Linked DNA regions of Ovis aries. The protein of the gene in region 3 interacts with the protein of the main gene of each other region in a pairwise test. Links are inferred from orthologs where the notes say so. Each region holds a gene or a part of one and is shown on either strand. Other genes may lie near its edges.

Region 1 (3,647 bases), on a different chromosome or scaffold from region 3:
ACATGGTGACCTGATCTAGGTGGACAGTTGCAAGAACAAAGGATATAGACACAGAGAAGTTTGCAGCACCCAACCTTGCCCCTCCCTTACTCTTCCTTTAGAAAAGTGCTTTGCTGAAACCCTTTGGAGAACTCAGGAGTTGGGTGGGGCAGGAGCCACCTGTCTCCTTGCATGACCCTTCAATAAACCTTTCTCTGTTCCAAACTCCAACATTTCATTGGTTTGTTTAGCCTCACTGTGCGCTGGGCACATGAGCTTGCATTGGGTAACACTATTATCCCCATTTTCCAGCTGAGAAAACCAAGGCACAGGGAGTTAAATGGCCGGCAGTAGTTGCCAGATGTGAATACCAGGCCACTGATGTGCCGACTGGCTCAGTGTCTCCCAGGGCTTGGACCCGTCCACCAGGTGGAGCTAAGCCTCTGTTAAACAGATCCTCCCAAATCACCCTCCCCATCAGTTCCTGGACTAGGAGTAGTGGAGGGAGAAACAGGGATCAGGACCTGCTTTGAACTTGGCGATGGCGCTGAAGAGCGCGGCAGCCCTCTCCGAGCAGGCGTCGATGAGGCTGATGGTGTCGTGGCCGTTGTGGAGGGCGGTCTTACAGAAGCCGCAGAGCAGCTCGTTGTCGTTGCGGCAGTACTCTATGATGCGGCTGGACGGGTGGTGGATGCAGATCTTCTCGTCCTGGTCCTCCGTGCTGGTATCCACGAACACGTGGTCCTGCATGGCCGCGTCCGAATGGAAAGTCTTGAGGCATTCGTTGCACAGATTGAGGCGGCAGGTGAGGCAGCGCTTGTAGGCAACGCGCTGGCTGCGGCAGACCTGGCAGACGATGGGCCCGCTGGAGCGGTCGAAGCGCCACTTGAGGTAGCCATGCTGCTGCATGTAGCGCTTGGTGAGGCGGCCGCGCAGATAGTTCTCGGGCAGCTGCATCTTGTGGCTGTAGGGCATGCAGTGCGAGCGGTTGCACACCGGGCAGATGAGGATGAAGAAGTTCTCGGTGACCTCGGCCTGCTTCTGCAGCCGCCGCAGGCACTTCTCACACAGGCTGTGGTGGCAGGGCAGCATGAAGGAGTGCAGGCGCAGGCGGCCGCAGATGGGGCACGACAGGTGGCCGACCAGATTGCTGTTGGCCGTCGGCATCATCTTCACCTCCTCCAGCTGCGTGTCGCTGCTCCCGATGCGCAGCGCCGTTTTGGAGCTGCAAGGAGAAGCAAACGTGCCAACTCAGGAGGCGGCCTCCGTTTCTCCCTCTCGGAAGGAACAGGTGCATCGCTGAGTCGCAGCGCGGTGTGATGGGGAGGAGCATGGGTTGTCCGGCAAACCTGGTTCTATAGCCGCCTCCACTATCCTTTAGCTGGGTTCACGCATTTAAGTTAATTAACCTCTGTCTGCCTGTTTCCTCATTATAGAATCACTTGATGGGGCTTCTTGAGAAACTTAAAATGGAACTGAAAACCTGGATGGCCTTTCAGCAGTCCCTGGAAGGCTGTACCTGATACGCAACTGCTTGTTGTTACTTTTGAGCAAGAGAAAAACAGCCCAGAGGGGCAGGCACTTTCAGCTGGGTATTGGGATTCTGTTGGCCGTAGACAATATCACAAACACCCTCGGCAGACAAGGCCATTCTGGGACTGTGGTGAAGCAAAGCAGAAACAAATCACTTCCTCATATTTGAATTCAGAAGCAAGAACATTGTCCAAACCACAAAAATCACCAAACATCCCCTGTCCTGATTAAAAGCAGTGACTGCTGCTTTTGTTTTTTAAACCAATAACAGGTTCAACCCAGTTATTTCCATGTTCTATGCAAGGTTTATTAAGATACCCAGTCAGAGATTTACCCCTGTGTCCTCACCTACCGTGAGCATAAATCCTGTAATAACTTAGTGATGCCTTCCTACTGAGACAACTCACACTTGCTCATGGTGTATCTCTCTCTTGTTTCAGTGGGACAGTAAATTCAGTCTCCTTCAGCTACAGGTGCGTTCTTCATGGGTGTTACCTAGAGGGCACTGGCATCATTATTATCGTTATGTGTGAGAGGGAACACAGAGATGGGCAAAGTGTTCTTCCCAGGACACCAGGCGGTCAGTCTCCCAGCCAAGCCCAGAACTTGAGTGTTCTAATGATCAGACCACAACTGTGACTTAAGGGGGTAGAAGCCCCCTTAAGGTCGCACATGATGGAATGCACTGCTTTAGAGTTGCACCACTGAGATGTGTCATCACCTCTCTCATCCTCAGCTTCCTCCTCTATAAATCAAAGCTCACAGCACTACTTCCTTCATGAGGATTTTAAAGTCTCCATGGGATAATCCAGGATAAGTGCTTAACTGCCCGGACACAGTAAGCATTCAATAAATGTGCTCTGTAGTGACTTCATTCTGCTCCTAGCCAGCCCATGTCCACAGCAGAGAAAGACAATGGTCAAGTCTGTGAGAAGTGTACATTTCTACTGTATGTGTCTGTTGAACCTTTATCTAATATCAGAGGCTGATTTCACATATTGGAAGAACTGTGGATGAAGTAAGTGCATACTTGTAAAACTCAAGTGCCTATTCTAAGAAACTACAATCAGGGCAGAAGCAGTTTGTGAGAATAAGTGAATTAGATGGAAGTATGATAAGATACTTAATTTGTGACTATTCCTATCTCTCTTATCCTCTGTATTAGTGATGCCTGGGAGTTGAGTTTGACATTGTGCCTGTTTTTTTTTTTTTTTTTTAACTTTTGCCTTCTTGCAGTCCTTATATGTCCCTGGCTTCTTCCCCCTTCCCCCTTCCCTTAGGTCTCAGAGCCCAGTCAAGTGTGATGCCCAAACACGCTGGAATGGAGTGGCCTTTTGGTGACAGTGTCCTTATGGAGACTTGGGCACCTGGGAAGTTCTCTCTTGGAGATTTGGATGCTGGTGTCCAAGGCTGCTAGCCTCAATATTTTCAGTCTCATTCCTTCTCTGCTTTCCCAGCCTCTCTGCTTTCTCAGCCTCTCTTTCTCCTGCCCAGGTCCTGAAGGGGTCACCTGGAGAAGCAGGCTAGTTTTACAAATGGCAGTTGGATAGACTACTCCAGTTTGATAAGGTGGGACTCTGAGAATCAGGGTGTAATATAAAGAAAAATAGCAAGAGAATTCAGAAAGAGAGAGGGAGAGACAAGGGTGTTGGTGGAAGAGGGAAAGAGAACACGGTGAGGAGACAGGTGTTAATGGCCCAGGGAGCTGGCATGGAGGTGAAAATGAAAGTGGGAAAAGGAGATGAGTAAGGCAAGGAGGGATGAATGAGCTCAGAGTGAGGTGGGATGAGGAAGATGCTGAGCAGGAAGCAGTGATGAAGAACAGGGGAGGCAGGGATCAGACACCAGGAGGGAGGCCAAATGGAAGGAATATGTCTCAGTGTACCCAGCACAAGCTGCCTGATACTTGTGGTTGCATCTCTGACCATCATCAGAAAGCCTCAGGCCTGGACTCGGGCATTCGGTGACCATCATTCCTGCCAAAACAGTTACCAAGCCAAGCACTTGTCTTCTTGTTGAGATAATGGCCTCTGCTCCTCTGTACAATGACTGCCTGCTCCCAGATTTAGGCCTGTTCCTTTTGTACTTGGGTTCCCATCATATCACCTGCAAGTCTCCTGGCTTCCCTTCTTGTT
Region 2 (3,652 bases), on a different chromosome or scaffold from region 3:
CCGATTCAAATCGCCGGCCCCGCCTCCTCGGCGTCCGGGCGTTACTCTGCAAATCTCTACGCCGCCGCCACCCGCACGTGTGCGCGCGCACTCCGAACCCTGCCAGGCCTTTACATCGCCGTCCCAGGAAAAGGAGAGGCTTCGTGGGCTCGAAGAGACACCACCACTAGCTGCCGATAACACACTGACCAAAGAGACCAGCTGTTGACCTCTGTCCGCAGGGACTACTTTTTGTGAGAGGCTCGCGGAAGATCCCTTGGGTAGTTTTTAAACGCCGTACCCCGCCTTTCGATTGGATGCTGCAAACTTCGAAAAGAATCCTTGGACCAATCAGGACAGAAAAGCTGACCGGCTCTTACCCAATCAGCGAGCCCCAGCCTCAGCCGTTTCCTCTGTGGGTTGGGAGAGGGGGAGGTGCTAAAGCTGGGAGGCGCTGACTGGTTATGGGTCACTTCCAGCGCTCCACCTCCTTCTCTCAAACCCCGCCTTCGTATGCAGATTACTTCTACCTGGTGTTGGCTTTGCGCCTGCTCAGTAATGCTTTGAGCCGCCGTTCGGCTCCAGGTTGAGCTCTGATTGGCTGATAACCCTTCCCTGTCGGCTAGACTGCAGCCTCTCTTCCCTCCTTCCACCTGGGCTGGGTTAGTGAGAGCCCACCCAGTGCAGGGGGATGATTGGTTGAGTGCTGCCCTGCGCTGCCCGATGATTGGCGGAGCTTAGAGTCAGTCTGGGAGAGGTGGGGGAAGGGCCCCAGACTGACTGAAGAGCCCAGGGGCGGGGTGGGAAGGAGGACCGGCCAACCTTGGGGTGTGGGACGGAGTGTGCGTGTTTGTGTGTGTGTGTGTCAGTAAAGGAAGGAAGGTGGCGAAGGGAGGAGAGTCCGAGTGGGTGGAGGGAGGGGAAGGGCGGGAGAAGAAAAAGGTGGGAGGAGAGACAGGTGGGAGGGTGGCGACTCACTCAGGATCCGGTGGGGGCAACGCAATGAGGCGGGTGACCCTGTTCCTTAACGGCAGCCCCAAGAATGGAAAGGTAAGGGGGTCGGGAGGAGGCGAGGCGGGCCGGGCTGCGGGGGGCGAGGGCAGCGGAGTGCGGAGCGGGCTCGCGGGGCAGAGGGCTGAAGTTGGGGAGAGGGACTGGAAGCGGGGAGGTGGGCGTGCGCCGGGGCGGGGGGCGTCCGGGAGGAGGCCGACCTTGGGTCCCTGAGGCCTCCTCCCCAACCCCGGGATCCCTAGCCCGCGCCTGCCCTTGGACTCTCCAGCTGCTCTGGGGACCGGCGCAGTTCAGTTTGGGCTTAATCGTTCTCAAGACCAGGTGTGGGTCCTGGAGTACAGAGTACTCGGAGGGCGTGGGGACGGTCGCTGTCACCTGATGCTCAAATTCCGCTTTCCACCTCCACCAAGACCCCGCTGCCCCCCCGCCCGTGGCTGCAGAAGGCACTGGTTTCCCACCTTCGTGCTGAGTAATGGTCCGCTCCAGAAAGTGCTGGTTAACAACTAAAGCATTTAAGGGTGATCAGGTGAAAACAATTAAAACTTTCTATCCGTGGCTAAGTAAAACGTTCTCTCAGCCTAAGTCGAATAGAGGGATGAAATAATACTGACATTTTCTAGATGGTCACCCCCCCTACTTTGAGGATCCCACAGCACCACCGCCGCCAAAACTTCTGTACTCGCTTTATTAATATTTCGCACTATTTTAGTTTCTTAGAGGACTGGGACAATAGACCGAAGTGGATGGATTGGACATTACTCTTTGCTGTGTTAGGCCTTTGTTGAGGGTGTGGTGCTGAATATTTTTCCATCGCTGGAGCAAGCCAAAATGTATCCTGTTCCTTCTCAGCCCCTTGCCCCACCCATGAAAGTTGTTCGGCGTCTATGGAAAATTTGACCGTTCAAGGCAGACATTTATGGTGTGGCTAAATGACATCTAGAAATTACTAAGCAATAGAGTCGGAGTTGAAGGTAGATTGGGCTCCCTGTCTTATTTGCCAGCATGTTTTCTGCATCTTTTGCACACACTGTAAATTTTTAAATAGCGCAGTTGTGCCCACGGTATAAAAAAATGGCTTTCCAACTACTCTGCAGTTTTGAGTAAAAGTGCTCTAAAGATTTGAACCACGCTGTAGTTTTTTGACTGCAGTTATCGTGTTTTTCTGATTTTAGAGATGTAGTACTCATTAGAAGAGAAGTAGCATAAATTTAAGTAATTGAGTTTTCATAAATTCTTCACAGCATTCACTTTATTAACTTTTTTCTGTACCTGGTTTGTCTGTTGATAACTGCTACTCATAATCCAAAACATATGTTGTTACTGGAAGAAAGATTTAGTATATCCAAAGCTACAATTGTAGTATGTTCTCGAAAACAGGCCTGTGACTGACCCTTTTCTTCAACATTTCTGTTATGTTATTTCATGAAAGGCAAGATGTTTAGACCCAGCCATAAATTTTTAACTACTTCTCCTGAAACTACTGAGTTTTATTCTTGTCAAAAATTCGCTGGCTTAGTCTTGCCAAGGTTTTTTTTTTTTTTTTTAATGTACTTTTGACTAGGTTAGCTTTTTGGATTTAAATATTAGTTTACTTAAATACTTTGCTAGAGAATTTCAGAAAATTGGAAAAAACTTCTCAAATAGTTCATTACAAACATTATAAAAATCCAAATTGGAAAAGACTAATGTGACTCAATATTGAAAGTAAGTCAGGGGCTTCCCTGGTGGTCCAGTGGTTAGGATTCCATGCTTTTACAGCCGAGGGTGCAGGTTCCCTATCGGGGAACTAAGATCCCCCAGGCAGTGCGAATCAACTAAAAAAAAAAAATAAAGACGTGGTAATCTTTACTGTTTAACTGAGAAACATATTCTGTGCCAAAGTTTTCAGTGTTTCCTCCCCTCCCCTTAAACTGATTAAAAAAAAAATACTATTACTGATTTTTAAAAATTACTCTTATTTGATCAAAGAGCAGAGTAATACATAACAGCCTGCATTGCCGTATAGATGAAGTGGCTGTACTTAGCCAGGGTTGGCATGATCTTGACATGATTTTCATGAAACTGAAACAGAGCACTACTGCAAGATAAACAGTTTGGTCTCTTGTCCACCAGTTGAAATATCTGTCACTTTCATTATCTCCATACTTACCTAGCTTCTGTTTTTGTTATCTGGCCCTAAGAGTAATGCCTGTTTTTTTTTTTTTTTTCACAGAAGTTTCCCTCCTTTAAAGCTTGTTGAGCAATTGCCAACACTGGGTGGTGAAGCTTGGGGCTGGGAAGGCAGAGTCACTGCAGATTGTTGTTCAGTCGCAAAGTTGTATCCAACTCTGCATTTTTTAGTCACTGTAGAGGACAACATATGCTCACAACGACTTTTGACTTTTGTGTATAGTGAGTAAACAGAAGTATACTGAATGTTTTGATGTTGAAGATAGGTTGCGGGGAGGGGTGAGTTGTGCCTTCATTAAAGTGATGCTTTCCCAAGTGAGATTGTCTACCTCACAGGGCATGCAAGAAGATCGAGTAGTTTAAGAAGAAATACTACACCTTTTAGGTGGTTTTTTTGTTTGTTTTTTTTTTTTAGTTAAAGATACAAAATTACATCAAGACTTGATTTGGCCAGTCTTAAAGGACACAGGTGCTTTTAGTCATTGAGTGGGTC
Region 3 (3,747 bases):
AAAAATAATATCCTCAATCCCAGGCCCAAATCTTCTTTAATTAAAAACATTATCGGTCATAGAACGCAAAGCTAGATCTTAATTAGTAAATACTCCCTGTTCTTCTGTGGATTAGGACCTGAGTTTTTTCAAAAAGCCTAATTTAAGAGGTCAAACCATTTAAATCAGTAGGAGTTAATAATGAATAGGGCTGTCAGTAAGTTTCTCCTTTATTTCACACTAGTGGCAAAAAACTTCCTTGGGAATTGATGCTACACATTTTCATCGGATGAGCCCTAACGGTAGGATGAATCCTGATCCAACATTTAGGAGAAATTCAGGACACACTGTTGCCTCCACACATCAGCTGGATGTGTGACTGTGGACCAGTCGGGTCACTGCCCCAGCTTCTGCTTCCTCATTTTGAGGAACGTGTCCTAGATGGTCTGTCCTTCGTTGACCATCCAAACTCGATTCACCCAGAGAGAATGAGCTGCTGAGGAATTTTGTCTTCCAAATAGTTCTGTTTTGTTCTGGGTCTATCATGCTACTTCTATAACTGCTACTGCCCGTAAAGATACTGAAAGTATATGAAAGCATGCCAAGTTTGCGGTTTGAATTCTAAAGGTATTCAACGACTTAACATGATGACTACTTCAAAATGACTGAGCGCTTAGGGTTAAAAAAAAAAGCTCCCAAGATGCTTTCAGTTACAGTTTATAAATGCACCTCAAACCTCACATCAGTTTATCTTCTTGGTGATTAATTCTACTTCCTTGGTGGTTAATTCTCCAAGTATTATTCTATTCCACCTTGAAATATGCTTACTTCACACAAGGGTTAACAAGGACAAAACTGACACTTCAGGCCTTGATCATTGTGTGGGAAACCGTCCCGCGCATCACTGGATACGGAAAGAGCCTCCGTGGCCTCTGCCCACTCTTTGTACCAGCACCACTCCACTCGCACAAGGGGTGGCCACCAAAAACGTCTCTAGATACTGCCCCTGATAACGTCCCAAGAGTGGGGGTGGAGGGAATACCCATGGTAGAAAACCACCAATTTTACAACGCTTCATTTTACACAGCTAACTACCTCCGCCAAGGTCTCTTTCCACAGCCCCAAACCACCTTAAGAAGAGTGGCTAGCCTAGGTTAGCAGGCTGAAACTGCTTCTTGGCGGCGAAAGAACAGACCAAAGATCTTCAGAGGCCCTTCGCCGCCAGAGCTTGATCAAGAGTGTGGAAAGGCAAACACAAGCGTGGCCACGAACTCCATCAGAGACTACCTCTATTATCTTCACCGTGAGCTACGTGCATTCGAAAGGAAGCACAAGCGTTTCTGAAATAAGCACGCTGTGAAACAGACAGGTGGACACCATCAAGAGGCAGCAAGTCTCTGGGCGTTCTCATTCAAGACTGGGACAACCCTGGGCAGCTCCGACCGGGCCTCCGGGTGCGGGGTGCGGGCGCCCAGCTCCCGCCACGCCCACCCGACGTCACCCGTTACACAACGCCCTCCACCACCCCCACCCACCCCGGCTTATGCAATTCTGCCTCCCGCGGCTTCCAATTGCCCCGGTGACTTTTGCGGGAGACCAAGGTATATACGTTGCACGCCCATCCTCGGCTGGGGATCCACTTCCCCGCCCCGGCAAGGAGTCTCCCCGCGGCGGACCCGGCCCGGGCGGCCAATTACCGGAAAGAGCGCGGCAGGAAGCGAGCCGACGCTCAGGCTCGCCCAACACCCTCCCCATCCCGCGCTCGCGCGGCCTCGCCCGGCCACCCGCTCCGCGCCGCTCCACTCGGGGCGCGCCCGCCACAGCGCCAGGCCGAGGCGTAGGAAACCCCGCGCCGCGTCACAGTCGGCTCGAGGGCGATCCCCATTGTGACCGAAGCACCTCGGGGCGCCGCCCCTTCCCACACACACCCCCCAAAACACACACAACCCGGGACCCCAAGACGCAAGCCCTGGGAGGCAGCTGGCCTGGGGCGCAGACGAGCTTGGGGCCGCCCCGCGCGTTGGGAAGGAAGGGTGCGGTCGCGGGGCCCGCGCGCTCACCTGCTCGCAGCTCCTCGCAGGCGGCGGCCAGGGCCTCCCGGTAGCGCCCCTGGTGCAGCAGCTCCCCGAGCCGGCCGGCCGCCCGGGCTCGCTCCCGCTGGCCCGGGAACCACTTTTCGGCCAGGTGGTTGAGAACGACGCTGGTCCTGAAGCCGGAGGAGGCGGTGGCGGTGGCGGTGGCGGTGGCGGCGGCGGCCGGAGGCGGCCGCGGGGAGGTCCCCGGGGCATCGGCAGCCGCGGCGGGCGGCAGCCGGTCCCGGCAGAGGCGGCAGCGCGCGCGGAGCTCTCTCCGCAGGCAGCGGCGGCAGTAGCTGTGGCCACAGGGCACGGTCACCGGCTCGCTGAGGAAGCCCCGGCAGCCCAGGCAGCTAAGCAGCCCGCCGGCGCTAACGCCGCGGTGGGCGCCCCCCGCCGGACTCGCGCTCCAGCCCAAACCGTGGCGGAGCCGGTAGTTGAACACCAGGCAGTCAACCAGGGTGCCGAGGCACTCGGGCCTGACCGGGGCCCCGCGGCGCAGCGCCGCCGCGTACGCCTCCAGCGCGCCCTTCAGGTGGCCGCCCAGCGCCAGCAGCTCGCCCCGGCGGAGCAGCAGCTCCCAGCGCTCCGACTCCGCGGCGGCGCGCTCCAGCCGGTCGCCGCCGCCGCCGCCGCCCACTTCCCAAAACCGGCCCTGCCTCTGCGGCCGCGAGTCCACCTCCTGGCTCCCTCCCGGGGAGCTCCTCGCTACGGCCGGGGAAGACATGGCCCGCGGACGGCTGCTCTGCCGCCGCCCGCCGCCACGGTCCCCGAGCCTCCGGGGCGCGCGGCTCCGCACGCGGCCCGCGAGCAGGGGGGCGTGGCGCGCGGACACGGCGGGGCGGCGCGCGCCCGGGAAGCCCCGAGGGCGGGGCGCGGCGGGCGCGGGGCGGGGACGGGCTGCGCGGCGGCGCCCGGGACTCCCCCGCACGGCCCGCGGCCGGGTCCCGGAGGAGGCGACCGCCGGCCCCGCCCCTGTCGAAGCCCCTCCCGGCGGGAGGCGCGAGGTCAGATGATCCCCCGGCGGGGATCTAATTGGCTTCTCCGGAAAGAGGGGCCTGGCTTGTAACTGAACAAAGCACGGAGGAGCCCGAGGCTCCATCCCCCACCTGATTGCTCCGCGGGGCCCTCACCCCCACCCCTAGTCATAGATTCTCCCCTAACCCCTTCTTCGCTGGCACTTCTCCGCCCGGCAGCCGGCCTCGCTGGGCTGAGGCCCAAATCACCATCCCTCTCCTGACATAAACACCCACCTAAGTTGGGACCCGCCCCCCCGTTCCTGTCCCCTGGGATCTTCCCAGTGTAGTTTACCACCGGTCCGGTGCTCATCTGCATTTTTACTGGTTTATGCCCAACTTCCCTGGTGGCTCAGAGGTTAAAGCGTCCGCCTGCAATGCAGGAGACCTGGGTTTCGATCCCTGGGTCGGGAAGATCCCCTGGAGAAGGAAATGGCAACCCACTCCAATATTCTTGCCTGCAGAATCCCATGGACAGAGCAGCCTGGTGGGCTACAGTCCACGGGGTCGCAAAGAGTCGGACACGACTGAGCGACTTTACTTTCATGCCCAACTTACAGATGGACACGTAGAGGCCGAGGTCTCAGGGAAGCGCACAGTCAGTGGGACGACTTTGTGACTCCCTAAGTCTAGAGCAGGTCAACTTTAGGAACGAAATGTGGCTCAGATGGTAAAGA

What was found.
Region 1: the proteins of LONRF1 (region 3) and TRIM42 interact in binary tests that used the Homo sapiens proteins (3 or more experiments, as listed by UniProt). The two-hybrid records come from large-scale screens. The link is inferred for Ovis aries from reciprocal best matches to the Homo sapiens genes LONRF1 and TRIM42.
Region 2: the proteins of LONRF1 (region 3) and KCTD9 interact in binary tests that used the Homo sapiens proteins (3 or more experiments, as listed by UniProt). The two-hybrid records come from large-scale screens. The link is inferred for Ovis aries from reciprocal best matches to the Homo sapiens genes LONRF1 and KCTD9.

What each region holds. Positions count from the first base shown.
Region 1 is NC_056054.1:248,862,676-248,866,322, forward strand, and holds part of TRIM42 (tripartite motif-containing protein 42), read right to left. Parts: intron 1,205-3,647; coding exon 504-1,204; intron 1-503.
Region 2 is NC_056055.1:40,123,984-40,127,635, forward strand, and holds the start of KCTD9 (BTB/POZ domain-containing protein KCTD9), read left to right. Parts: upstream 1-752; 5' UTR 753-981; coding exon 982-1,029; intron 1,030-3,652. UniProt on the Homo sapiens protein: Substrate-specific adapter of a BCR (BTB-CUL3-RBX1) E3 ubiquitin-protein ligase complex, which mediates the ubiquitination of target proteins, leading to their degradation by the proteasome.
Region 3 is NC_056079.1:23,392,211-23,395,957, reverse strand, and holds the start of LONRF1 (LON peptidase N-terminal domain and RING finger protein 1), read right to left. Parts: upstream 2,835-3,747; 5' UTR 2,782-2,834; coding exon 2,040-2,781; intron 1-2,039.